Mytilus edulis: one gene and its partners. The main gene of each other region encodes a partner of the protein of the gene in region 2 in a complex. Links are inferred from orthologs where the notes say so. Each region holds a gene or a part of one and is shown on either strand. Other genes may lie near its edges.

Region 1 (7,844 bases), on a different chromosome or scaffold from region 2:
TATGTTAAGTCTAGAGGGGGGGATAGGACATTTATCGGGACTCCGGGATCTGGTGTTTTTAAGCTCGGGATTTCGGGATTTACTCCTTCGGGATCCGGGAATTCTTTTTTTTAAATTTCGGGATCCGGGATTTAACTTTATTTAAATTCGAGACCTCGGGATTTCGTGTTTTTAAGCCCGGGATTTCGGGATCAGGACCCCTCCTACCCCCCTCAGTCTAGTAATTCAGTTTCCTCGTTGTGTTTTGTAGATCACACAGGGTGAGTTTTGAATGATGATATTTGTTTGCAGGCATTACAGGATGTATGCATTAGGGTCTGTATGAATGTGTGATCTTTAATTTCTTTATTCTTTAATCATTTCCCTCTCTATTCTTTATTTATTTTGCCATTATTCTTTATATTTGAGCACCCTTTTATTCTCTATTCTTTACTCTTTTCGCTCATCTCTATATTTCAAAGATGTTAATTATACACTTTTTCCCTATTATTCTCCTTTGTGTAAACCTCATCCAAACCCTTATGCACAACTATCGCTGGAACCAAGGAGTCGACATAATGCAACTGTTGTGCTGCACGTCCCTTTTAATTTGGTTTTCGGTTTTTTTTCTTTTACAAATTTACTGCTATAACTAAGAGATTTCCATGATATTGACACTTGCAATCAGAATACTGGGTCATTAAGTATCATAGCAGTTTTTAGTAAACATATATAAATAAGTAAGAAAAAAAGAAATGAAAGAAAGGGAATTATAGCTAAAATTAAGAATGGAAATGGGATCGAATGCGGCAAAGAGATAACAACCCGACCAAAGCGCAAAAAACAAGCGAATGCAACCAATGGGTCTTCAACACAGCTAGAAAATGCTGCGACCGGAGAAGGGCTTCAGCTGGTCCCCAAACAAAATGTGTACAAAGTATTAACTAGTCAAGAGAAAGGGTTGAGTTATTCGACGTGCATTTGTGCTCCAAGATGTGTCTTTTTTTATTGACCTGTTCAACAGCTGTTACGTTGATATGTATAATTCGTTTAAGTGTGCGCTTTAAATCGAGTATTTCAATGCAACGCGTAGAATTATAGGAAGCCAATAGACTTTCAACATCTTACTGTAAATAAATACATGTGTACATGTATTTATAAAATATGAAAAGGATTCAAAAGTATAGTCGATACAAATATAAGAACATGATTGTGGCTCCTATATCATTTAAAGATTATGTATGCACCTTTCCCCTTACTCTATTTTCAAAACGAATATTTCATACATCAGTGAAATGAATTGAAATGAAGATTTCTTACCTGCATGTTTATTGCACATCCATTAGATAAACATAATATGGTTTTTACAACGTCCGCATACGGGAAGTATATATTTGAGTTTCGACCGATTGTGACACATTTAACTTTATGACCAGATGACAGGTAACAACTTTGGGGAAGTATTTTTTATCATTTAAATTTTATAGTTTACTTAGTATTCCGACTACCAAACAAAATGCACTAAGTCTTGAGGTTTTAATTTCAAAAGTGTCCTTTGTTGATTTTTTCAGTTATTAGACCGTAAATACGATATAAAAGAAAGGATGTTATGGGGTTTTTAGGTGGGAAATTATCGTATATCGTACGAGCTTCTTTAAAAAAAAAGTGCAATAATGTTAAATCAAATGCTGTCATGATATCATAGTTTTATTCTTTATTTTCAGCGATTCGTAGACAGAATTAAAGGAAGGAAACATGGAAACAATTAAAAACTTCCTTTTTCAAACATTATATTATTTATAGAATACTATATATTTGTATTTAAATAGATGTAGCGGCTCACTTGTACGCCTGTAGAAATAAACATGAAAATCGCTGATACCACAGGAGAGACCCATATACTACTGTTATAAACCGGTGTCACTTACAGGCGGGTTACCAACAAATGCGTCTAAAGTAAATACGTTGTACAATGAATAATGTACAATGAAATTAGATATACATTACACAATTTCAGCGTTAGAAATTAATACCTCCTAAAGCAAGTCATCTGCCATAAAAGACATAACAGCATTTTATAAGATAACTCAATATTTGAAGTTCACACCAATCTAATTTTACACGCGAATCACAGTGAGCTAAATTTTCTAAAATCGAAATTTTAGCCATGCAGATTTAGTATCGAAAGTTTGAAAGATAATATGAAAAGTAGATGCGGTATGATGAATGAGACACTACGCAGAAATTAAGAACTATCATAGGTCACCGTACGGCCACCAACAATAGAGCTTATAAATATTTCAAGAGTGTGATAATAATAATAATAATAATAATAAATTCTGTATTTAAAGAGGGTAACTTAATTAGAACTAGTCTAATTTTCATTGTGGCCCTCACACAAAAATAAAAATCACTGTTTATAAAATCGGAGTCAAATGAAAATTCTTTACACGTCTTGTCGTCAATAAGTTTGTTTACTGTATGTTATTGAGTTGCAGACTAAGGTGACCACCATACAACGCTTTCCCCTACAATAAAAACAAACTAATTTGTTGGTATGAAAGGCTTTGTCGTTTTTGTCTCGCTCTGCTCATCTCAATTTTTTAAGATTTAATTTCTTAGTTTCAACATGGTCATTAAGGAAAATATAAAGAAAAGAAAAATGGTGAATGGATACGGAGAATGTGTCGAAGCGACAAAAACCCGACCAAAGAGCAGAAAACAGCCGAAAGCCACCAAAGGGTCTTCAACACAGCGAGAAAATCCCACAGCCGGAGTCGTTCTTCAGCTTGCCTCTAAACAAAAATGTGTACTAGTTTAGTGAAAATTGACGTCATACTTAACTCCAAAAAATATAAATGAACTAAAATTATAAAAAAAAATCTAACAAGACTAACAAAGTCAAGAGACTCCTGACTCACGACGGGCAAACAACGGCGAGGTTAAACATGTTTAATGAAATCTCAACCCGGGCTCCCCTTATACCTCTAGCCAACGTAGAAAAAAACACAGTAATTCGCAAAGAACTCAATTTATGAAAGTCCGATTCTGATGGCAGATTAGGTAACAAAAGAAACAAACCAAAAAACAATGGTTTATGAATCATAAATCAACAAAAGACTACTAGCAGTTACTGACATGTCAGCTCCAGACCTCAATTAAACTGATTGAAAGATTATGTATGTCTTTATCATATGAAAATCAAGCACAATCCTTCGATCCCGTTAGAGGTTTAGTATCATAACGTCATACAATATATGAGAAAATGTATCCCGTATCATGTCAACAATTGGTTTTAGAATGAATGTGTATATTTCCGACGCAAGGACCCTTTGAGTGAATCAATATTAAAACCAAACTATGCCATCTTTAATGACCTGGCAATAGTATCGTAACTATATCCCTCCTGAATCAGTCTATTGAAAGGTTTAGTTAGCTTTTGCCATTTTGGGGTTGATGTCAACATTGTTGTGCTTTATAGAGAATATTACAATAAGAAATTTGATGTAAAATACCTGAACACATAAGATATCTGCATGTTGATTTATCATTTACGAATTATGTCCTTACATGTGTACCAATGATAACATTTAGTAAATCTTTTGACTAGTTTGTGATATCGAAAACCCTTGTGTAATAATTTTTCATTAATACAGTGATTTCTTTCATTAAACATGTTAAAATCAAATACGTTGTTTTAAACACCGATCCCCCCTATATATATAGGGGAGAGGGGGAATCTGAGACAAGTGCCTGTGGTTCATTGTTAGTATTAACTTAATTTAAAGTCAACTCAGTTAGATGTGTCTTAATAAAATTGTCATTATTGAGATCAAATATATTTAGTATGACGTCCATTTTCACCGAACTAGGCTAGTACACATTTTAATTGAAGGGCTAGCTGAGACTCACCGCATTATTTTTTTTTTATCAAATAAATATTGTTGGGGCCGGTGTTGAAATTCTAATATCTTTCAAGGGAGGCTTTAGGTACATTTTTTTTCATGTTTACAACATGTACAAGTGGGAAATAAGAAAAAAAGAGAAGTTCTTATGTTCACTCTACCCAATCAAAAAAAAGTAGGCCTAATTACTAGTCTGTAAGTACGAATCCGAGATTTTGATACCCCACTTTCGATTTTCATATACAATTCAACAAGTCAAAGGTGTAGACAAAAGTTTAAGAAATCTGTGACATAGCCCATTTGTCATAACTTGAACTTAAGATATATATAACAGGGTTTTAAATTGATTTTAGAATTCAATATGAACAATATATAATTTGAATTAACAAACTATTTTAAAAATTAATAATTGATAGTCATATTTATTATTAAAATACCAATAAAGTATAGTCATTTATAATTTAATCAGTGTGTTAATATATATGAATTATTATTTTTACCTGAGATTACCTGTAAAATGAATGCGCGCAAATGTAATCAAAAGCTGCGCGCAAACATAAAATATTTTAATCCCCAAATGCGCGCAAACGTAGTGCGCCCCTTCAGAACCAATTGTGTCTATACTAGTATATAACATGGGAACAGTATATATCTATTAATAATATATGTTCCTGTTCGTGTCTCTTTTAGTTCATTAGTTTGTAAACTAATCATTTAAGTATTTGATTTTAATACAGCAAGGCTATAATTATGAAAACTTGAAAGTACCAATAATTTTCTTAAGAACAAAGAGACGTTGAGCAATCACTTTCGATTGATAAAGTCGCTAAATTATATCTTCCAGTCGAAAATTGTCGCTAAATTATTCTTCTTGTCACTTCTTGTCGCTGAAATCCTTCTTGTCGCTAATTAGTGTAACCGAAGTAATCTGTTTAGGGGAGATAACTATTTTGCTCTCCAGTCAGGAGGAAAGAAACGCGGGAATGGAAATTTAGAAATTTAGGAATAGAAAAAGTATGGCATTTTTTGGAGGAGCAGCGACGACTCCTTTTGGAACAACAGCTACTACATCTACTTCAACAGGATTTGGAGGATTCGGCACACAAACTCAAAGCACAGGTATCATTATATTAATTATGGATTATCAGATAAAACTGCGTAAATTATTTTAGTCTGAAATTATTTGTGTCACAGGCCACTTGTTTCTATCTATGGGAAGACCCACTATCAACGTATATTTACGTAAATTTGGTACTTTCAAAGAGTCGTATCAAAAAAGAGGTGCACCATAATATGATTTTTTTCCTGTAAAGTTGTAAAGTCAATAATTTAAACTCGTATTTTGAGTTTTATATGAATTAATCAGTATTTTTCTCAAAATCATTAAAAATTAAAATTGCATTCAAGTCTCAAATGACAGAATCCTAATAATAAATGCACACAATAATTTCTGAATTTACAGTAAATTTAATCAATACTTTCACTTTACTTTCTCTTTCAATTGCTATTTATAACGTACATATAGCAGGGGTTCAAATTAGCGGTGGACCTTCCACTATTGCAATCAGACTTTCGTTATTGTTACAAGCTACGCTCAACAGACCTTCGATTTGAAAGAATATAAAAATTAACTTTGCCGACCTTTTTAACCAAAATTTCCAGACAATCTCAAAATTTATTTTTATCTTTATAAATTATGACAGCGATGTTCATTTTGTTCAACCGCTAGTTTTATACCGAAAATCGCCAACAAGTAATGTGTAAATCCGAGTAAAATCGTATTTGACTGACATAAACAACATTGAAAATCAATGCATGCCATAAACCGGAAGTGAAGACAATTACAATACCGGATCAGATTCCGGTGACGGATAAGTGTAACTCCGAATTTGCCGATCAAATACATTAAAAAAATAATAATTCCAGGCAGGTGACAAAATACATCTTTTATGATGAAATATAAATACTAGAATTGAAAACCAAAAGATATATTGAAAAGAAAGTGAAAGAAGGAAAATATTTTTATACAGAAACTCAAAATTACTTTTAGTTCACAAATTTTCGTGTCAAAATCCAATAAAATGTGACAGTAATTTTCTTCATCATTACTAAATGTTGATATTACATGTAGATGTTTTTATAGTGTGAACATATTACTACAATTCCAAGAGGTAATTTCTTTTCAATTTTGAAGGCCAGTAAAATCTCAGGAAGTTTTTTACTTTATTTTCACAGATGACTATAATAGTGCAACTAGATGTGACACACTTAAACAGCTTTGAATTTGAACTTTAATTGTATTCTCGGGTATGAATTGAACAATATAAAAAGGAGATGCATATGGTCCTTTATATTATAGTGAAAACTACAAGACAACACACCCACCAACAGTGACACCCTCCCCAATACAAAAAAAAAAGGATTATGTGAATTCATATACAAGACAATTACATTTATTATTAAACATGTTATACAACAGTGACACTAACAATTAAACAAGCTAACCCAACACCAAAAGCACATTAATTTTGTATCTTACTGAGTTATGAAATATTTCAAGTGAAAGTAGGACCTGTAATTTAGGTTGTGGACCTTTCAGTTTGGAGTGTCAAAGGTCCTGGACCTTCTAGTACCAAATGTTAATTTGAACCCCTGCGTAGTCCAAATAATTATGACGTCTTGCAAGGCTATTTTAATTTTTTTCTGGGATGCCTTCCTACAACATCATAGGACAGTCAGGGGACTTACTGTAAAAATCACTTATTTGAGTAGCAAATTCGAGGTCTTGTCACAAATTGGGATTTTGTAGTTTTTTTTAAATTTTAAACATATAGGTTTAAATAGCATCTTTCAATTAGTAAAAATTAAAAAATATGAACTTTTTGCTTCTGTTAAGTAGCAAGGTTTATGCCTTTGATGCTATCATTCTGAAAATTCTATTTTAGTTGAAAAAATGCTATAATAATGGCTTTACATAATGAACTGATACTTTCTTAAAAGATTTTTCACAGCAGTGGGAGTATTTTTCCTGTGAAGTTCAAGGTTTCATCTTTCAGATTATGTAATAAAATTCTACTGTTCGCTGTTCGCGATAAAAATTTCACTGTTCGGGGGTGTTGAAATTAGTGGGGGTTATTAAAAGAATGATACTTAAAGAAGTGATTTTTGGGAAGGAAATTGAGGTCTGATACTTAAACAAGTGATTTTTATGTCATTATCCTAGATTCAGTACAAGGTCATCACCTGAAATGACCTGGTCATCCTAGACAACACAGATGACTGATGTTGGTTCTGATAAATTTAGAAACATAATTTAAGGCCCTGGATCATTAGTATTCTATATTTAAAGCTACACTAATATTAAATCACTTCTTCTAGTGATTAATTTGTACTACTTAAATAGGTGATTATTAGAGAAAGACAACTCTAACTTCGAACCTTTATGGAAATAATGTTACTTGAATCAGTGATTTAGAAAATCACTTGTTTAAGTAAGTCCCCTGACTGTAGGACAACCCAGAAAAAATTAAAATAGCCTTGCCAGACGTCATAATTATTTGGACTTTTTATAACGTTACTTTGACTCATCATCATGACCTAGTCCAAATAATTATGACATTTTAAAGGCTATTAAATGTTTTTTCTTTGACGCCTTACATCGACAATTATTTGTCACATGACTTTATAGCAAATCATTTCACATTTACGAAGTGTTCTTCATAACTATATGTTCAGGTTTAACAAAAAATCGTTTTAATGAAATTTTATACATTTTGTCATTGCAAAATGATGTACATTTGTATTTTAAAAGATTTCTCAGATCGTTTTTTAAATATTGATCTTTGAACTTTGAGGTATTTGTTCATTGAATTTTCAGTAGCCACCGTCTTGTTTGATATGGAAACCATTTTACACAACTGGGATGTTCTTTAACATGTTTAAAAAGATACTTCTGAGTTT
Region 2 (6,950 bases):
AAATATCATGCTCAGTGGCGATTTCAATTTAGGCAATATTGACTGGTCAAATTCATCAGTAATACCTAGCAAACCAGATCCTTCTCTTCATCAACACCTTTTAGATATATTACAAGATCACAATCTCACACAGGTAGTTGACAAACCAACAAGAAATGAACGCACACTTGATCTACTGTGCATGTCAAATCCATCCCTACTAAACAGAGTAGAAACATTACCACCACTAGGTGACCATGACATTATCTTCAGTGAAATAAATCTTTCCCTTTCGAAAGCCAAACAGTCACCACACAAAGTATTGATTTACAAGAAAGCAGACTGGGAAAAAATTGGAAAAGACTTAAAAGAAACATACACACATATGGAAAAACACAAATTAGAACTTGATATAGACAATATGTGGAATTTCTTTAAAACAAAAACAACAGAAAGTATCCAAAAGCATATACCAACTAAGCTAATAGGAAATAAAACCCACCTACCATGGATAGACTCAAAATTGAAAAAACTGATAAATAAGAAAAACAAATTTTATAAAAAGAAAAAACATGATAGCAAACATACTAAAAAATTTAAACAAATTAAAACACAATTACAGAAAGAGATGAGAAATGCCTATTGGAATTATATCGAAAACATGATTTTTGACATTGAAATACAAGAGCCTGAAAATTCGAGATTTAACAAACAAACCTAAAAAACTCTTTTCATACATAAAAGGCCAAAACAATGAAAACACTGGTATTGCACCTCTTAGGAGTGAAGGTCTACTTCATACAGATCCCTTGAAAAAAGCTAACATATTAAATGAACAATTTAAATCAGCTTTTACATCTGAGACCAATACAGTTATCCCTGACAAAGGTCCATCAACACATCCAATAATGGACGACATAGACATCAACAGAGAAGGCATCTATAAATTAATTAAAAATATAAACCCAAAAAAGGCAACAGGACCTGATAACATCACTGAAAAGTGCTTAAAGAAAACATCAACACATGCACAGACATACTCACTCTAATTTTTACAAAATCAATGCAAACAGGAAAAGTACCTCACGATTGGAACCACGCAAATGTAACACCTGTTTCAAAAAAGGAGACAAACATCATCCTGGTAACTATCGTCCAATTTCACTTACATGTATTTCATGCAAATTACTAGAGCAACATAATTGCAAGCAACATTATGAAACACCTTGAATCCAACAACATACTTTATGACTTGCAACACGGCTTCAGGGCAAATAGATCATGCGAATCCCAAATAATATCACTAATTCACCAACTATGTTCAAATAACGACAAAAATATACAAACCGATCTTATCATCATGGATTTCGCAAAAGCCTTTGACAAAGTTCCACACAACCGTTTACTATATAAACTTAAATTTTTCGGTGTATCAGATCAAGCCGCAAACTGGATAAAATCTTTCCTTTCAAACCGTACACAAACAATTATGCTAGAAAACCATTCCTCTGATAACATACCAGTTACATCAGGTGTTCCTCAGGGCACTGTATTAGGTCCAATACTATTTTTGATATATATCAATGACTTACCTGACTACTTACATCATAGTCAAATCAGGCTCTTTGCTGACGATAGCATCATTTACCGACAGATAAAATCACCATCAGATTGCCTAAACTCCAGGAAGACCTAGAAGGAGCAATCAAATGGGAACAAGACTGGCTAATGCAGTTCCATCCTGATAAATGCAACATACTTAGAGTGACCACAAAGAAAACACCTATCCATTTTTATTACAACATGCACGGTCACATTCTTGAGTCAGTTGAAAATGCAAAATATTTAGGTATAACTATTTCATCAAATTTAAAATGGAACAAACACATTCAGAACATGACATCTAAAGCAAATAAGACCCTTGGATTCACCAGAAGAAACTTAAAATAAACTCAGTAACCATCAAAGACCGAGCATACAAGCCCTTATTAGACCAAAACTTGAATACTGCTGCACTGTCTGGGACCCCTACACAACAGAGAACATTAACTCCATAGAAAAAGTTCAAAGACGTGCAGCGAGATATGTATGCTCAAACTACAAATATACTGAAAGTGTAACAAACATGATTAACACACTCCACTGGCCAACATTACAAGAAAGGAGACTCAAAAGCAGATTAAATATGTTCCATAGAATAACAAACAACAAAATTGCCATACCACATATACTGACATATTAATTAAAAGCCAATCAAACACCAGGTCTAGCCACGAACAAACATACCGACAAATTCGATGCAGCAAAGACAGTTACAAATTTTCATTTTTCTGCCAAACTATAAAAGACTGGAACAAATTACCAGAACCAATAGCCTGCAGCACCACTACTGAGTGCTTCAAGGAGAAACTCACTAGAGAGATGCTCCTTGACACTTACAAACACCTACATGTATAATATGTATCTTGTTTTTATCTTATACCAAAAATTAAAAATAAAAATTGAAAAATATTACTTACAGTTACATATACATTTGTATCATAAAAATTGAAAAATTATAAGAAACCAAAAATATATATTTTAATCATTAACAATATTGTTAAACCAGGCATGCGCCGGAAAGTAATCATCAACCAGTTGATGTTTTTCTGTATATAAAGAAGAAGAAGGACGGTCATCAGCTTTACCCCAGTGTAACCGGTAGAAGAAGTAAAGCGAAAATAAATGTTAGATCTATGCCAGGTGATATAAAAAGAAGCCGTTCTAAATGCATGAAATGGCAACTAGTGTAAAAGACAATCCCGTTTGCAATACGTCAACTACATACCTGTGTTGACGTTTATTTCTTTCCATCTTGTTCCCACACTAGATGAAATTGAAATTTCCCGGTATGTACATCCACTCATGCTTTCCGCCATTCTTTTATCATCCGTATTCAGGTGACTTCGCCCCGATTGTCGTTCGCACTAAGATTCATTTCGCCCCAATAGGGCGATTCTGTATCTGTATTAGGAAATCCCTCCTTCACAGGAGCACTTCGTAAAGAATAGGGTTTTCGATAAGTCTATATGTCTATATATACTTAGTTTGAAAATATAAAAAATAAAAAATATAAATGTATTCCCCGTGGTGTGTACGTTGGCTACAGTCGTTGACCTTTGCGTTTGCTGGACGGGAATGTCTTTATGAGTTCAATTTCGCTTTCTCAATTTCCCGCGAGTTAGGCCATTAGAAGTTAGGCTTAGGCATAATTTTGGATTTCAAACCAATATAAAATACTTACTTACTTACTTACTATGTAGGTGTCAGATCACCGATTCAAAATCACTAGCTATATAATATTCAACATAACATTTTCAATTTCTCAGCTTTAAGATCAGATATTAAGAAAACTTTATTTTGATTGATAAGTCAAATAAACAACACATAAATTCTAACCTATGAAATTGTTAATGGACTAACACCCATAGGCGGGGGTCTGATTATATAGGACGATTCACTGAAGCATGACTGGAGCGGGACCCCCTTAGGTTAGTCAGCAGCACCCCCCCCCCCCCCCCGGGCCCCCTTTATGTTTCTTTAAATATTCTTCTTTTATATGCAGATGATATTGTTTTATTGTCTCAAAGTAAAAAAGGACTACAAAATAGTCTTAATGCTTTATATGATTATTGTGATTGTTGGAAACTACAGAAACTACAGAAACTACAGATAAGTCATTGTATTTAATTCAAATGGTAAAACATTTTTGGACGAATTTACTTACAATGATTCTTGTATTGAAACTGTTAAAGTCATTATTCTTATTTAGGGAGCTACCATTTGATTTTTAGGGGGGGGGGGGGGGCTAGGATGAAAAATTTTGTCCTGCATTTTTTTTAGCTGTAATCTCTGTCCTGCCTTTTTATTTTTCACTCAGTTCGGTCCTGCCTTTTTTTTTTTAGTTTATCCTGACCTTTTTTTTACCTAAATTGTTGTCCTGACTTTTTTTTTTGCAATTGTCTCATCCTGCCTTTTTTTTTTACTTAAAACTCCTGTCCTGCCTATTTTTTTCAAATTTCATCCTAGCTGAGACTAACTGTTATAGTAGTCTCAGATCCTAGCCCCCCCCCCCCCCCCCCATAAAAATCAAATGGTAGCTCCCTGAGGTATTGTAATAAAATGTAATGGTAATTTCAATTTAGCCATAAATAATACTCTTATGGAAAAGGCAAGAAAGGCCTATTTCAAAATTAAGAAAACTGTGGGTCTGAATAATCCATGTAGACTACTTGAAAAATTGTTCGATACATTAATATCACGGTATTCACCTATACTGATGTACTGTTCTGAAATTTGGGGTGTTAACTCATCATTAATGGCTCTGATCCCTTTGAAAAATTACACATTAAATTTATTAAAGAAGCACTTGGTGTTCATTGCAAGGCTTCAAATGATGCTTGTCGTGCTGAGCTTGGTAGAATTCCACTCAAAAATAAAATTGTTTTTTCAAGCATAAATTTTCTAGAGCATATACTTTCATCAGAAAATACACTTGTAAATCAAATTTTCTGTGCAACAAGATTTTCAAACCCCTGGATCCTAAAAACTCAGTGCATTTTACAAAAATTAGGATATTCATATCTTGTTGAAAAAAAGTTGTCTAACAAAGCAGCACTTGGGACAAGTAAAACAGAGAATTTATGATCAGTGCTTGCAAAATCAAAATGCAAACACACAGGAGTCTTCTAAGCTCAGTTTCTTTCGTCAAGTCTACAAAATGGGTCAAAGACCATCATATGTTGATTCACTAAACAATTTAAATGATAGAGCAGCAATATGCAAAATACGCATAAGTGCACATCCTTTAATGATTGAAAGGGGAAGACATCTTTTAAATGTTCCTAGAGAGGAAAGACACTGTCCTGTCTGTAAAAATGGGGAAATTGAGGATGAACAACATTTCTTATGATAATGTAATAGATATACCTCAAAGCGAGAAATATTTGAAAATAAAATAAATGTTATATTTCAAATACAGCGTAACATTACCGCTGATGAAAAAATATCTCTTTTGGTCAATAATAGCTCAGCATTATTACTTAGACTGTCTTCCTCTTTCATATCAGAGTGTCTAAATATAAGAAATAGTGAACTTATATGATACATCATTTTGTAACTTTTCATAATTTAGCATGATATGTTATCATGGAACCTTTCATTCTACCATGTCAATTATTCAGTATAGTTGTATATATGTCGTGTACAAGTTGCGATTTTGTACAGGTTATAACATGTCCTAAGATATGTCCATAGATAGTCATAAGAGGATCATAAGACATGTCCTAAGATATGTCCATAGATAGTCATAAGAGGATCATAAGACATGTCCTAAGATATATCTTATGACAAGTCTTAGGAATGCTTCGTAATACCGACCACTGGACATTAACTGTATCAAAAAAGGACAAAACACACTAACATGAAGGAATAATAAAAACGTTATGAAAATATTATTGAGGTTAATAACATCTGTTGCGATAATAGAATATATCCTTATTTTTCGATTTTGTACAAGTTAAAACCATTTTTAAGCAATATTTTGTACAGGTTATAACATGTACGAGGTACTTTTGTACATGTTATAACTTGTATTTTTGCATTATACAAGTTATAACATGTACAATATTTTTGTACATGTTATAACCTGTACAAAATCGCAACTTGTACACGACATATATATGTAATGCCATAGGTCTTAACCATTTATTGTTAATGAGTTTGTGCCAATAAAAATATTTGTATTTTGTATTTTTTTTATTTTATTTATTCATGAAATGCACATTTATACCCCTGGGGATTGAAGGCATACATACAAACAATACAATACAATATACACAATGGAAAAATGAACATATTAAACATCATATATAAAGTGGTAAAACAGTAATATTTATGCAGGCGTCGTGTCCACTCCCCTCAGTGCAAATGACTTTTTAATGAACGGAACAGTAAGTTGCATAATATCAAATGAAGATAGAATTAATTGTAATCTATCTGTTCCAGACAATTAAAAGAATTCTGGACATATATTATTTATATCTTTTTCAAGCTGATTACGTAAAGATTTATTAATTTATTAATTTATATTACAATGTTTACATATTCTATTTTCTCTTTGAATTCTTTTATATCTACCCCTCTCTATTTCCAAGAAATGGTCACTTACTCGCATTTAAATTGCATGACAAACAAAAATTGGAATATGCAGCCAAATACCACAATACGGACGGAGTGTAGATAAAGGTGGTAGAATCTAAATGGTTATACAGAACATGATAAAGAAGTCCAAGAATATATCTTTATTGATGCTTACATTGTTAGCATTTACACATACTCATTCAGCATAGTATGGTGTTATCACTTGAGCATCTTCGTGTATACATTTTAAGAAAAAGTGGGTTTCATCTTCAACCGCATTTATATTACAATGTTTACATATTCTATTTTCTCTTTGAATTCTTTTATATCTACCCCTCTCTATTTCCAAGAAATGGTCACTTACTCGCATTTTACATAATAATTTTCTATTTTCAAAACTATTTTTAGAAATGTATTTGTATTTGTCTATTTCATATTTTCTTTTTATTTTACGACTACACGAATATTTTACTGGTTTCATTAGTTAATTTTAATTTTTCAAAGAAAATATTTTCAAAGCTATCTTTTAGTTCTTTTTTAATATTTTTTGAGAATGAACTCTTTTCTTGTTTATAGTTTATATCCTGTATTTTATTTATGTCTAATTTATTTGCATGGGCTACAAATTGATCAAAAGTGCAGCCATGGTCATTTAACTGTGTTTATTTACATCAGTTGATAAAATTTAAGATATAAAAATTTCATTTGGAATAATAAATGGTACTTTTGTGAGTTTCTGCAGCGTTTACATTAGGCTATGCTATCTGCCAAGTACATATTATGACGCAATG
Region 3 (7,412 bases), on a different chromosome or scaffold from region 2:
AACAGTAACAGTTCAATCACATGTTTACTTCAACATTATCATATAAGTTGAAAACAAATTGTATTTAGGATTCTAAAATGTGTAGTTCATTGATGATACAATCGTCATATAGTATAACTAAAACTAAACATGCTCAAAGATGTATTATGTGTAACTTATTTTCAAATCATTCATTTATTAGTTTATCATCATGATCATGCAGTGTTAATTGAATTAATTTGAAAGGGATATAAACTGTCAGTCTTGATTAGATAAATGTCAGAAACCTGCTGGTTGTAGTTTGTTACTGTCTGTTATTTATGTTTTCCTGTAAATCATGTACATGTATATTGTTTGCCATGAATCTTAGATCTTGCCAATGGTTTCATATTTTGTCATGTTGAGGATTTTAACAAAGACCATACTGTATTATTCTGCTCACTATTGAAGGTTTGTACAGTAACCTATATTTGATTACATCCACACCTTTTGGACACAGGTGGATAGCTGTCTCATTGGCAATCATTCCACATTTTCTTATTTTCATGCTTTTCTCTCCACATCAATACAATTTTGGGCTGTTTGAGCTTTTTGGATGGGTTGTTGTCTCTTTGACATGTTTGACCAAAACCTAGTATTCATTTTCTATCCCAATCTACTAACAGTTTAATCACCAGTGGCTCTTTACATATAAAAATTGTATGACTGAATTGTACAAGTATTTTTTTTGAAAGATTTTTTGTGAAATGAGTGTCAGTTCTACATTTTATAAATATTTACCTGAACTTTCTTCAATGCTACAACACTGCCATCTATTTTATTAATAGCTCTATATACTTCAGAAAACTGTCCCTTTCCTATCTTTTTATCTATTTTAAAATTAGCAAGGCAGCCATATTTACTGTCCTGTTCATCAGTAGGGGAGGGGTTTCCTTCTAAGTCCATTGGCTCCATACCCCCGGCAGCCATATTGGTAGCCTTTAACCTAATGAGAAATGAACTAAATATTGTAACATACAATGTACAGTGACCTACATGTATAGTTATTAATGTCTGTGTCATTTTGGTCTCTTGTGGACAGTTGTCTCATTGGCATCATACCCTTTTTAAAAATGTATGTTTACATTAAATTGCCGTAATCAATATTTTTAGAAAGAATTACAAGTTCTTCTTTCGTCAAATTGCTGTCATCACTAATTTTCAGAAAGAATTTAACTTCATTCATCAAATTCAGTCCATTTACTTTTAATCAGCAAGCACCAAAAATTACTATTAAATTATCAAATTATTGCATTAACATGATTAATGTCATATCGCGCATTTGGCAAAATAATTTACTGTTATAAATTCGTCCCCCATTACAACCATAGAGGATACACTTATCACTATTTGTCGGCCATTACTGGGTATCACAAAAGTTCCCTTAAAATTCTGACATCATAAAAGAAAATATCTGACGCCACAATGGAAAAGTGATTGTAGTATGACGTCAAAATTCAAGTGGGCCAGATTCTTGGGTCAAACGCTGAAGCGGGAACAGCGATACGGTCTATACACCTTAATGCTAATACCAGCTGCGACGCATACAACAATCACTTTTCCATTGTGGCATCAGATAGTTTGTTTTATGAACCTGTGTAATATCCAGTAATCAACAGACATATATATATAGCGATAAGGTGTACCTATTGATAGAGCAGTTGATTATTACTCTTTCAATTGAACAAGAGATTGGTTGAGGGCATCCAGTACCAGTGTATTTTATGCTGGAAAGAACATTTTTTTTTATTATAATATACATGTATCTGTATAAATTTATCTGATTGGTTGTTGTTGTTTGATCTGGTACCAGGTAGGAAAATGTGGAAAAATTTCAACAGAGTATTCATAGATGAAGTACAATTAACTGCCGCATTCTATCGATAACAAAAGAATGGTTTACCTTGTTTACCTTCCGTTCTAGTTTTTTTTGTACCGAATAGTATAGGAATTTAATGGAAGTGTTTGGTGCGCATGAGTTAATTTTTCCTGACAACGTCATTCGGTTATCCTCTCGATTTTAGTTCAAAATAAACGAAAACATCGAAGAAATTAAATCAAAATCTTTTGTACGTTTTAGACAAATTGCGAAATAATGAGATATTAAAGATTAAATTTCAAATCAAATCAAATCAAATATGTTTATTGGATAATCAATATATATGTACAGTGCACAATTGATGTCTTCCACACAATGAACAGATATTAAAACAATTAATACAAAATAAATGCATATACATTAGAAATAATATCTGGACAGAGCTAATATAAGTTGTAAAACATTAATATAGTTCAAAAGCTTTTTCAATAAAAGTACAGATAGCTTTTGTATCAATTTTATTTAAAGGATACATAATGTTATGTAGAATAGTAGATTCCTTTTCCCTTTTATTTAAATCCGAGGGGTCGATATTTAATTTTTTGAAGAGATCTTGTCTTAAAATTGAAAACTTTTTACAGTATAAAATGAAGTGTTTTTCATCATCTAATAAATCACAAGTCTGACAAAGTCTTGAGTTATGCGGAATTTTTGGTCTATGATAACGACCTTTTTCTATTAAAAGAGAATGTGCACTAATTCTTAACTTAGTCAAATTTTTACATAGTGCTTTTGGAATATTAAAGTCAAGATATTTTTGAAGAGAAAAATTTGTGTAACAAAATGAAAAATATTTAAGCTTTGAGTCAGAATTGTAATTAGAATAATTTTGAAGCTGTTCTTTAATTAGTTGGATGGTTTGATCGTGTATTTTCAATTCTAGATTTTCATTTTCCAAATTCTTTACATCCAATTTAAATTTTTTGCAACTATAATCAATAAATGAATACCATGATTTTGACCCCTCTTTGAAAAGTCCTCTATCTACTTTATACACTTCAGCAAGAAATCTATCAGATGGAAGTTGTTGCAGTCTTATGAAATATTTAAAAGCCAATTTAGTAATAAAATTAATAATTGGTAATCTTCCTAATCACACCTGGAGGCTAAATTTGATGCCTTTTTATGTACTCCAAGTAGATATTTACAAAATTTATTATGTATTTTTTCAAATGGTATATTATCTTTATTTAAATCTTTTAAAGTAAAATCGGATATCCAAACTTCTGATCCATAGGTTGTAATAGGTCTAATTAGAGAATCAAATAACTTTAGCTTAAGCTTGGTACCAGAGTAATTATAATCTAGAATATTTGATTTAAGACTAAATACTGCTTTAAGAGCTTTATTATACATATGTTCTGCGGCATGCTTTAAATTGCCATTAAATGAAATCAGCATTCCAAGATATTTATATTTATCGACTGTTTCTATATTTTGACCATTAATTTTAAATTTGATGGCAGATTTTTTCTTGCCCTTACTAAAAATCATAACTTTAGTTTTAGTAATATTGACTTTCAACTTCCATCTGTTACAATATATTCCCAGGCTGTCCAGACAAGCTTGTAAACCCTTTTCACTCTCTGACAGTAGAATTAAATCATCTGCATATTGTAAACAATTAAATTGTGTTGTAATGAGTGACACAGGAAATGTTTTTGAAAAATCAAATATTTTTGGCAGATCATTAGTGTATATATTAAATAACAGAGGGCTAAGACCATCACCTTGTCTAACACCCCTATTGGCTCTATGAGCTTCTGAAATAAAGTTTTCTTTTTTTACCACAAACTTTGAATTAGAGTACATATGTTTAATTATCTTATAGAAATTTCCTCCAATTTTAAGATTTAATAGTTTTTTAAGTAATCCTGAGTGCCAAACAGAGTCAAAAGCTTTAGAGAGATCTACAAAACAAGCAAAAATAGGCTTTTTTAATTTGTGTAAATATTTATTTATCAAAGTTTTAATAGTGAAAATATGATCTGCAGTTCTATAATCTGGTCTGAATCCTGCTTGAAAGGGATTATAAAGATTATTTTCTTCCATATATTTATGCAGTCTTTTCTGTAATAATGAGGTGAAAAGCTTGCCAAGACAGCTGGTAAGGCTAATACATCTATAATTATCGCATATGTTTATGTCACCATTTTTGTGTAAGAAGGAAGTACAAGATAAATTCCAAGCATCTGGAAATTTTCCGCTTGATAAAATTCTGTTAAATAAATTAACAATAGGTAAAAGTAATAGGTCTTTTCCATATAAAAGGAATTCATTATATATAAGGTCTATTCCTGGTTGTTTATTCTTCTTAAGTTTTTTAATGCCATCTCTGACTTCTTTACAAATGAATGCATAATCTAAATGTTTATTATTAATATTTTCAATTTCTATCTTCGAGATATCTAAATCAGTATTATTTTCTTCATAAAGCTTTTTTAAGTAATTTGACATTTCAGATAGAGGTATAGGATTTTCTTCTCTATTTGTATTTTTCTTCAGATTATTAAAATTTAACATTGAACGAAATTTTGCAATATTTACAATTTGGGGCCAAATTTTGCAATATTTAAAAGCGAAAGTTTAGATTTAGATTATGGCAACAGCTGACGAACCTCCGGAAAGAGACGTGAAGGTATGTTGTGTTTGTAATGTGTAATAGTAGGCAGGTGTTACAATGTCGAAGAAATGACTATTTTGAAACTCATTTTTATAAAATTTTTGCAACAAAAAACAGTATAGACCTACTTTACATTGCATACCTGCCAACTTTTCAAAATGCCCATGGGTGTTTTACGTGCAAAATGGCTCTCCAAGTCCTACACAACCTGTAAAGGGGCCTTCAAATTTATTTTAATGATGTTTATTTGCTTCCTCATACTTGCATGCATACTGTATACAATCCTATACCAATGATTAATTGTTTGATTTGTTTTAAATTTTGGACAAAATTGCTCTTTCAAAATTTCAAATTGGAAGCCTCTAAAGGGGGAAACCCTCGCAAATAGTGACAGTTGGCAGGAATACAGTCTATGATTTTTGGAAACAAGACTTATATATGTTTTTAAGTTTAAACACACTTTCTTGTTCAAAATGACAAATGGGATAGACACAAGTTTTTCAACTAAGTATTGTCTTCTCCAATTATAGTTTATAGGTCAGGGAGCCAGTGCGGCCATGTAATAAAGTTATTTTAAGTTTTACTTCTATTTGATATTGAATCATATGTTGTTGTATTTATAAAGACTTCAGATAAATGGAAAACAGATCACATATTAATTGTCCATTAATTTGTTTAATCAGGATTTCAGATATCAGCAGCTATGCAGGTTTCAGATAGATGATGGCAATTCACCAGTAAGGGGGAAGAGTCCTCAGTTAGTTGCAGCTTCCTCAAAATATGGAGTAGTCTTTGTTGGTACAAGTAACGGTAAGTCATTTGGGGAAAAAAAGCAGTTCAGGGTTCAATGCCAGACATATTTTTAGAAGACCTGCCTGGTAGAAGAGGTAAATAAATAAATAAGCTTTATTTAGAGTCGGCAATGTATACAAACATAAACAACATAAGCTCTAATGAGCTTTTAACTGACATACAAGACATTTATAACAATACAACATTTAAAACAATACAACACATAATACACAAGCAATAAATTACGCAGCACAAAATGAAGGACTAAAAGCATAGTGGTAATAAGCAGAATATAAGCATGCTAAGCTAAGTATTAAAGCTAAAAGCATATAAGTGTAAACTATACATGATTAAAAAGCTGGTAAAAATGCATAGCATTAAATATTTAAAAAAAGATGTATGATCTAAACAATGGTAAATAATTTTCATGATTTTAGCATAATTTTAGGATAAAATCTGCACAAACTGTAAACTGTAAATGTAATGCATGAATATGATTAATAGTAATTGAACCAATGAAAGGCTAAAATCTCTATTGCATTGCAGTCTTATCTAATTTTTGTTGAGCCTTAGACTTTTGTCGAAAAAGCGAGACATAGCGATCCTACATTATGGCGTCTACGTCATTGTTGTTGTTGTCAGTAGCGTCCACAAATATTCACTAGATGACTGATGTGGTTAAAGTTTTTAAAATTTAAATAACTTTCTTAAACTCTCCTGAATTTGTACCAAATTTGGACAGAAGCTTGTGTATAATCATGATCATATGATAGTATCCAGAAATAAATTTTGTAAAAAAAAATGCCATTTTTTCCCGTATTTTACTAATAAATGGACAATAATGGACTTAGTTTTTCTGCCAGGAAACATTACATGTACATTCACTCTGTGGTTTAAGTTTTTAAAATTTTAATAACTTTCTTAAACTATCTGGGATTTGTACCAAATTTGGACAGAAGCTTGTTTATGATAAAATGCTAGTATCTAGTAGGAAATGTTGTTAAAATTTTGTTCCTGTTTCAGTATTTTACCTGTAAATGGACTTAGTTTTTCTTCCAGTTAACATTACATCCAGTCTGCAGTTAAAGTTTTTAAAATATTTATTAGATTCATAAACTACACTGAATTTTAACTAAACTTGGACAGAAGCTTCTTACAATCAAAAGATAGTCATGATAGTATCGAGAAAGATATTTTGATTAATTTTTTCCTCATTTTTGGTGAGCCTATGTTCTATTCATCATATTTGTAGGATTTAAAGTGATACAGACATCTGAACTGAGTAGAATTGATAGAGAACATGCTAAAGACAGAACAAAAATAATTGTGAAAGAATATCCTTGCCAGGCGTCAATAGAGTTATCTGCCCCTCCATCATTGTTGGCACTTAGTTGTGACAGTCTTAGCTTGGCTGTGGTTGTAGAAAGTGCAGATTTGTCACAAGTCTACATATATGATACTAGAAGTTTTGTCAGTCAGGTAAATTATATAGACATAAAGTCTTTATTCATAGGTTTGATTAAAGAGAATTTCTCCAGAGAGAGCCAGTATCTGTTTTTTTTTCCATGGAGCTGATGTATTCTTGCATTGTTAACCCTTAGTATCCTTTAAAAGTGTTTTTCTAGGTACAAACTCATAGATTTGATTTTTTTCTAATAAACATGATAAATACTACACAATGCACTAGTTTCTTTTTCTGTGTATTTCAAGCAATTAAACATAATTTCAAATAACAAGAGTTGTGATCAGAAGCTGCATACCACCAACATTTTAAAAAGGACTGGCAAAATTTTTGAATTTATGGTATTTTGCAACAGAAATAACAATAAGTACCACCAGATTTTCTCCAATGACATACATCAAAAAATGTTTTAATAACTCTTAAATAATATTGATGAGTATTAAACATGGTTAGTTGGAGTGGTATTTAGCTCAGAATTTGGTGGTTAGTGGAATAATAAATTTTTAAAAAAATGTTTGAAGATATCTATTTGTTATGTTGCAATATTTTAAATGAATTTATACTGCACTCGTTCTATTTGAGCAGTCAAAATGCGTTGACTGTATATTTCTATGCCATATACAGTCACTGACCTGATA
Region 4 (7,273 bases), on a different chromosome or scaffold from region 2:
GCTTTAAATGAATTTATATGATCAACTAGAAATATATATACAAATCAAAAGGGATGTTACATTAATATATTCACCAAAGTTTCATAAAATCCCCCTTTTTTTAGTATAAAAATTCATTACTTAAGAAAACGTAAAATATAAAATTTATAAAAATGGAAAGGGAGCTTATGTCAATAGATATAAACAATTTATCAAAGTTGCATAAAATTTTGTGAAAGTGTTTGTTATTGTCCCAAAATTGGAAAATCCCCCCTTTTTTAAGCATAAAAATTCATAACACGGAAATGTAAAATCTGAAATTTATAAAAATTGAAAGGGAGCTTACATCAATAGATATAAACAATTTATCAAAGTTGCATAAAATTTTGTGAAAGTGTTTGTTATTGTCCCAAAATTGGAAAATCCCCCCTTTTTTAAGCATAAAAATTCATAACACGGAAATGTAAAATCTGAAATTTATAAAAATTGAAAGGGAGCTTACATCAATAGATATAAACAATTCACCAAAGTTTCATGGACATTGGTGAAAGCCTTTTTGAGTTATTGTCCGAAGTGTTGAAAATCCCCCTTTTTTTATGAATAAAGCCCCATAAATCCAAAACTTAAAATCTGAAATTTATAAAAATTGAAAGGGAGCTTACATCAATAGATATAAACAATTCACTCAGGTTTCATGGACATTGGTGAAAGCCTTTTTGAGTTATTGCCCGAAGTGTTGAAAATACCCCTTTTTTTATGAATAAAGCCCCATAAATCCAAAACTTAAAATCTGAAATTTATAAAAATTGAAAGGGAGCTTACATCAATAGATATAAACAATTCACCAAAGTTTCATGGACATTGGTGAAAGCCTTTTTGAGTTATTGTCCGAAGTGTTGAAAATCCCCCCTTTTTTATGAATAAAGCCCCATAAATCCAAAACTTAAAATCTGAAATTTATAAAAATTGAAAGGGAGCTTACATCAATAGATATAAACAATTCACCAAAGTTTCATGGACATTGGTGAAAGCCTTTTTGAGTTATTGTCCGAAGTGTTGAAAATCCCCCTTTTTTTTATGAATAAAGCCCCATAAATCCAAAACTTTAAAACTGAAATTTATAAAAATTGAAAGGGAGCTTACATAAATAGATATAAACAATTCACTAAAGTTTCATGGACATTGGTGAAAGCCTTTTTGAGTTATTGTCCGAAGTGTTGAAAATCCCCCTTTTTTTATGAATAAAGCCCCATAAATCCAAAACTTAAAATCTGAAATGTATAAAAATTGAAAGGGAGCTTACATCAATAGATATAAACAATTCACCAAAGTTTCATGGACATTGGTGAAAGCCTTTTTGAGTTATTGTCCGAAGTGTTTAAAATCCCCCCTTTTTTATGAATAAAGCCCCATAAATCCAAAACTTAAAATCTGAAATTTATAAAAATTGAAAGGGAGCTTACGTCAATAGATATAAACAATTCACTTAAGTTTCATGGAAATTGGTGAAAGTGTTTTTGAGTTATTGTCCGAAGTGTGGACGATGTTTATATGTTTATTGTTTTTTATAACCTTCTCTATATTCTTGAACAAAATTATGACATGAAAATTGTTTTTTCCTCATGTTTTTCTTTCATTTTGATGGTTTTTTTCAAGGGGGGGGGAGAAAATCGTGTAAGACGTAATATAAAGTGCTTGTCATTTTCAAATTCTTAAAAATACTATTCATAATATTTGCTTGGCCTGTTTTGTCTGCCACTAACATGACTAACAACAATGACTAAAATCAAGGACCGATTGTACACAAAGCAATGGAGGCAAGAAGTGGGATTTTCTGAAGTTCTGAATTGTTTTTAAGCATTTGGAAGTCAGGTTTGAAACAGCCTTTAGAAAATTGGCATTTTTGTACAATACTTTAGAATAACACCGACAACATATATTTAGAAATGTTTGTTTTAATTTGGAAGAGTAGAAAAAACATATTCTGCACTTGTTTATAACGCTGGTATAAGCGTAGTGACGTCAATGCAGTTTTCCTGTGTGATAAATACAATATAAAAGTCTGAATGAACCAACAAGATGACCGATTATAGACTAGGGTAGGATATAGAGATTGAGACGGTTTGGTACCATTAAAACGTTTAATACCGCTGCAATTGTTTGCCCCTTTAGTAAGTCAGGAATCTGATGTTCAGTCGTTGTTGTCTGTTTATGTGGTTCATAATTGTTTCTCATTTTTTTTTATAGATTAGACCTTTGGTTTTCCTGTTTGAATGGTTTTACACTAGTAATTTAGGGGGCCCTTTATACCTTGCTGTTCGGTGTGAGCCAAAGCTCTGTGTTGAAGGCCTGTACCTTGACCTTAAATGGTTTAATTTTATAAATGGTTACTTGGATGGAGAGTTGTCGCATTGGCACTCATAACAAGTCTTCCTATATTTATATATATATGTAACGAATTTATATAGAAATCATATCCCTGATCATATTTCCTATGATATTAGTTCAACTAGATCTTTTTTACAGGGACAAATTTTGGCTCACATATGCCCCACACGATATTCCCCTATGGCTATGCCCCATTGTCAACGTATATTTGTTCCGCCTAACAGAAGTTCCAATGGAAACTTTGTTATAAACATTGTCATAATATCTATTCCTGTTGGAAGAAATATTATATACCATTTATTCTGTTAGGAACATATACTGTAATATTTATTCCTGTGGAAATTATTTTCCACAATATTTTTTCCTTTTGGAACTTATATTATGAAGGAACTTCTATTCCGTGACACCATATCCCTCTTTTATAATTTCGGATTTTGTATTTTGTGTAAGAATTTTTTTTACATGCATGATGTACTTTGTGTACAGTTAAAATAGAAAACAATATACAGCTAGATCTCATATATACTTCTATGACAGCTTCTGTGCTTAATGTGATCGCATACTATATTTCTCAGGGAAAAAAATCTATTTTTCATTCGCGCTGCCATAAAATCAAGGGAGGTAATCACTTTTTAAACTTTTCAATGAAAACGAATGAACTTTACTTTTAAATTTTAACATAAAAGATTGAATTGATTTTTTTAAATATTGTAGAATTCTTCTTTAACTCCATAAATCTAGTGAAATTCAACAAATAATAAAAGATTTTATCAATAATTTTAACGATTTAATTAGTTTCGTTTTGCACAAGATTCTTAAAGACTTTATAAAATGGCTTCGAAGAAGAAACGTGTTGTGCAACTTGAAGAAAAAATGCAGGCCGACGATGTCGCCGATGATGAAGAAGGGTCAAGTGACATGGATGATGATGACAGTAGTGATGGTGAAGTTAATGAAGTAAGAAAATAACCCTGTCAACCAAATAAACAATATGAACATACTGAAAGGACGTTCTCTTGAAAAAGAGTTACCCCCCTTTACCCACGTTTTTGTTTGCTCTTTTTTAATTCTCATTAGGCTACTCGTATCCGCAACTGTTTTAATAATGTTGACTTCTGGATTATTTATAACAGTTTTTTTTTCTTTTTTTTTTTATATAAATTATCAATAATTAAATTGAGTACATTTGAAAAAAAAATTAATTAGTAACTTGATATAGTATGGTGACATGTACTTCAGAGCTTTCGAGACGGGTCGGCCATACTTCCATAACGGCCATAGGATTTGTCGGCCATACCGCCACATCGGCCACACAAAATTATTGAGGTTATATAAACATAGAATATAATGATAAAATATTGCAAAGCCTGTGTTACTTTTTAGACTGCTCGAACAGCATTTCACTACCCAATCAATGTATGTTTGCACTCCGCTTGAACTCAGCTTGGGTGCTGTGTTTTTATAGAGATCTTGAACAGTATTTCTTTTTGAATTTCTTTAGTTTAGTTTAAGCATATTTATTTATAGTGGATTGGGAAACAAGTTTTGCAACTTATGTTAATCCCTTTCCACTTTGCGGGTGCGAGTGCTGCCTTGTAGCGGCATTAGCCTGCTCTTTTTCGAAATCTACAAGGGTGTCTTTAACGTGCAAGAGATATGGCTCTCTCTTATTTATGGTCCCCGTCCGACGGACTATCATCGTTTCCTCAAGACCATACTCGCAAATGGTGTCAAAATTTTCATCCCAGATTGGAATCGAACCAGGAACCTTTGTGTTAGTAGTCCGATGCACTAACCACTACACCACGGCTCTCTTAACAAAATTTCTTTACAAAAGCATAATTAATGCTTGTGTTCATCAAAGAAGTAATAATAAGCAATTAACTATCTTCTTAAATTCAAAACTTAATCATTACTTGATTACTTTGTTTTACATTTCATAACTACTGAATCTTATAGTTATATCCTTGTTTTCAAAATTCCAATAGGGAACATACCTTTTATAATTGTATAAATAAACCAATTGTTCAAGACGTTTCGGCCATTGACCTTCTTCAGTTGTTTATTATTCCTCTAAACTACATGGCTGACATTTCTTATAGTTATAGTCAGTCAGAGCTCAGACATAAATAAGTCTCAATCTGCTTTTGACTCATAGAGGTCTAAAGTTGTAGTTTTGAGATATGTTTCCCTTTAATGCAAGACAAAATACGACTTTAATAAGTTAAATATTGTTAAGCAAGAAATAATTGACCAGGATCAAAAAGTTGCAAATATTGACTCCTACAAGTCGATAAGTTCTCAAAATTGGTTAACTTCCAAGTCCCACGCATATTTATGAAAAGGTCATGCATCTAAATCAAATAATGACAACATTGAAAGGCAATGCTTTGTCTTCTAAAGAAAAATATGAATGAGAGTCTAAAAAATCGAAAATAATGTTAATTAATCTTACAATGCAACCACCTGGAACCACACTTAATGAGGTAAAACATCTGTGTTTAGTAAGGATGTTCAATTAGATAATTGAATATAGATAGCTCAAGTCCTTGTGAACTCTCAGACAGGTTTTTGCTGCCATAGGTGGTGTACTTTGGCCACTAAGTACATTTGTACAATTAAGTTTTTTTTATCAACATAAATAGACCTAAACAAGTCTGTCATTTTCTGACTTAGATAAGTCTAAAATTGAAAACACATTTTTATAATAAATACATGTTTTGACTTCTTTAAGTCAAAAACAAAAATCGACTTGTTTATGTCTGAGCTCTGACTGATAATTTTGACAGAAATAAGTCTCCCATTCGGATAAAGTCATTCGAATCATATTTGTGCATTTTGTTCTGTTAGTTATACGCAAGATATCATAAAATCATTTGGAAAACAATATGATATTTTAATATGTTATTAGATTAAACACATTCCTATATGATATACATAATGCGTAAACAAATGATATAACAAAATTAAACATGATAAATAATGTAAAAACAGTATAGTTTATTAAAAAGTTATAATAACCATCTATAAGTATCAATTTGAAAATATTTCATATATAACATCACATTTAAAAAAAAAATTAAAACATGGACGATACGTCTTTACATAGTATGGCCGTTTTTGTACTATGGCCGTTTCATCTTTTCGGGGTATGGCCGTTTCATATTTTCGGGGTATGTCCGTTTCGTCCTAGGGACGTCATGGCAGTTTGGCCGTTACTTCCTGCATCAACTTCAGACATTATAACACTGCATCAGCCATGCTGCAATTAATGCAAATAACCCATCCCCTTCCCTGCCTGACATCGAATAAAGGATACTTTTCTAAATTCTAGTGTGCAAGAATTTGAATTGTCTAAAAATTATGTCATATAGATGGTATACTCTAGATACATTTATTTTCATAGATAACAATTTTCGTGGATGAAGAAAAACGCATGTTTGTAAACATTTAAGCTCAGGGTTTTGACAGAGTCTTCATACAAGCTTTTAGAAAACTTGTCATCCGTTGAATATTTAATTGTGTGGTTCACCAATACCCAGGAAATCCACGAAAATTGGTAACCAATGAATAATAATGAATGTACAGTAATACTTTATTCATGAAATGTACTCAAAGAAAAAGTAACAGGTAAAATGTTATGTCATTGTTTTAACAAAGTTTCCTGAACTTCTGTAACATATGTAAGGTGGAACAATTTAATGTTGACAAATCAACCCCGAAAAGTTCAGAAGAGTTCCACAAAGGGTCTCTATCACAGAAATGAGAAATACTTCTCTAGTGTTTAATTATTTGTATACGATCGCAAATATTATAAAATTGTGGTCATATATTGGTATCACGTTGTTGTCGACCGAAGACGGATGGTTTCCGGATAATAACTTTAGTAAAAGTAAATAGAAATCAATAAAATTTTAACATAAGCTTTATTACCACTAAAGGAAGGTTGGGATTGATTTTGGGGTTTTTGGTTTTAATAGTTTAGTAACAAGGGGCCCAAAAGGGGTCAAAATAAATATTTTTATACGACTGCAAAAACTAAAAAAAAATTTGGTCGTAAATTTGTATCTAGTTGGTGTCGTCGTCGTCATAGTCCTAAGACTTTTGGTTTTCGCACTATAACTTTAGTTTTAAGTATATAGAAATCTATGAAATTTAAACAAAAGGTTTATGACCACAACAGGAAGGTTGGGATTGATTTTGGAAGTTTTGGTCCCAACAGTTTAGGAATTAGGGGCCAAAAAGGACCCAAATAAGCATTTTCTTTGTTTTCACACTATAACTTTAGTTTAAGTAAATAGAAATCTATGAAATTTTGACACAAGGTTTATGACCACAAAAGGAAGGTTGGGATTGATTTTGGGAGTTTTGGTTCCAACTGTTTAGGAATTAGGGGCCAAAAAAGGGCCCAAATAAGCATTATTCTTTGTTTTTGGGGTCCTAAATTAAACTTTTGTTTGATTTCTTCAAAAATTGAATAATTGGGGTTCTTTGATATGCCAAATCTAACTGTGTATGTAGATTCTTAATTTTTGGTCCCGTTTTCAAATGGTCTACATTAAAGTCCAAAGGGTCCAAAATTAAACTAAGTTTGATTTTAACAAAAATTGAATTCTTGGGCTTCTTTGATATGCTGAATCTAAACATGTACTTAGATTTTTGATTATGGGCCCAGTTTTCAAGTTGGTCCAAATCAGGATCCAAAATTATTATATCATGTATATTAAGTATTGTGCAATAGCAAGAAATTTTCAATTGCACAGTATTCAGCAATAGCAAGAAATCTTCAATTGCACAGTATTGTGCAATAGCAAGAAATTTTCAATTGCACAGTATTGCGCAATAGCAAGAAATCTTCAATTGCACTTTTTGTCGAGCCTTTGACTTTAGTCGAAAAAGCGAGACT

The links.
Region 1: nuclear pore complex protein Nup160-like (region 2) and nuclear pore complex protein Nup54-like share a complex: the UniProt entries of both Drosophila melanogaster proteins name them as parts of the nuclear pore complex. The link is inferred for Mytilus edulis from reciprocal best matches to the Drosophila melanogaster genes Nup160 and Nup54.
Region 3: nuclear pore complex protein Nup160-like (region 2) and nuclear pore complex protein Nup214-like share a complex: the UniProt entries of both Drosophila melanogaster proteins name them as parts of the nuclear pore complex. The link is inferred for Mytilus edulis from reciprocal best matches to the Drosophila melanogaster genes Nup160 and Nup214.
Region 4: nuclear pore complex protein Nup160-like (region 2) and nuclear pore complex protein Nup107-like share a complex: the UniProt entries of both Drosophila melanogaster proteins name them as parts of the nuclear pore complex. The link is inferred for Mytilus edulis from reciprocal best matches to the Drosophila melanogaster genes Nup160 and Nup107.

Annotation. Positions count from the first base shown.
Region 1 is NC_092351.1:43,985,771-43,993,614, reverse strand, and holds the start of nuclear pore complex protein Nup54-like, read left to right. Parts: upstream 1-4,823; 5' UTR 4,824-4,900; coding exon 4,901-5,003; intron 5,004-7,844. Other genes in the region: uncharacterized protein, read right to left, coding at 1,300-1,318. UniProt on the Drosophila melanogaster protein: Component of the nuclear pore complex (NPC), a complex required for the trafficking across the nuclear envelope. Essential for the nuclear import of nuclear localization signal (NLS)-containing proteins in an importin alpha/importin beta-dependent manner.
Region 2 is NC_092350.1:78,084,042-78,090,991, forward strand, and holds the start of nuclear pore complex protein Nup160-like, read right to left. Parts: upstream 3,001-6,950; 5' UTR 2,898-3,000; coding exon 2,807-2,897; intron 1-2,806. UniProt on the Drosophila melanogaster protein: Functions as a component of the nuclear pore complex (NPC). Involved in poly(A)+ RNA transport. Required for nuclear import of Mad. May play a role in double strand break DNA repair. Essential for nephrocyte development.
Region 3 is NC_092345.1:2,075,611-2,083,022, forward strand, and holds the start of nuclear pore complex protein Nup214-like, read left to right. Parts: upstream 1-4,408; 5' UTR 4,409-4,496; coding exon 4,497-4,535; intron 4,536-5,203; coding exon 5,204-5,330; intron 5,331-6,564; coding exon 6,565-6,791; intron 6,792-7,412. Other genes in the region: serine/threonine-protein kinase Nek7-like, read right to left, coding at 760-948. UniProt on the Drosophila melanogaster protein: Part of the nuclear pore complex. Serves as a docking site in the receptor-mediated import of substrates across the nuclear pore complex including emb, RanGAP and phosphorylated Mad. Protects mbo/Nup88 from proteasomal degradation at the nuclear pore.
Region 4 is NC_092347.1:43,234,014-43,241,286, forward strand, and holds the start of nuclear pore complex protein Nup107-like, read right to left. Parts: upstream 3,014-7,273; 5' UTR 2,894-3,013; intron 1-2,893. Other genes in the region: protein BCCIP homolog, read left to right, coding at 3,199-3,324. UniProt on the Drosophila melanogaster protein: Plays a role in nuclear pore complex (NPC) assembly and maintenance. Required for nuclear import of Mad. Mediates the association between the nuclear pore complex and a subset of active chromatin regions adjacent to lamin-associated domains.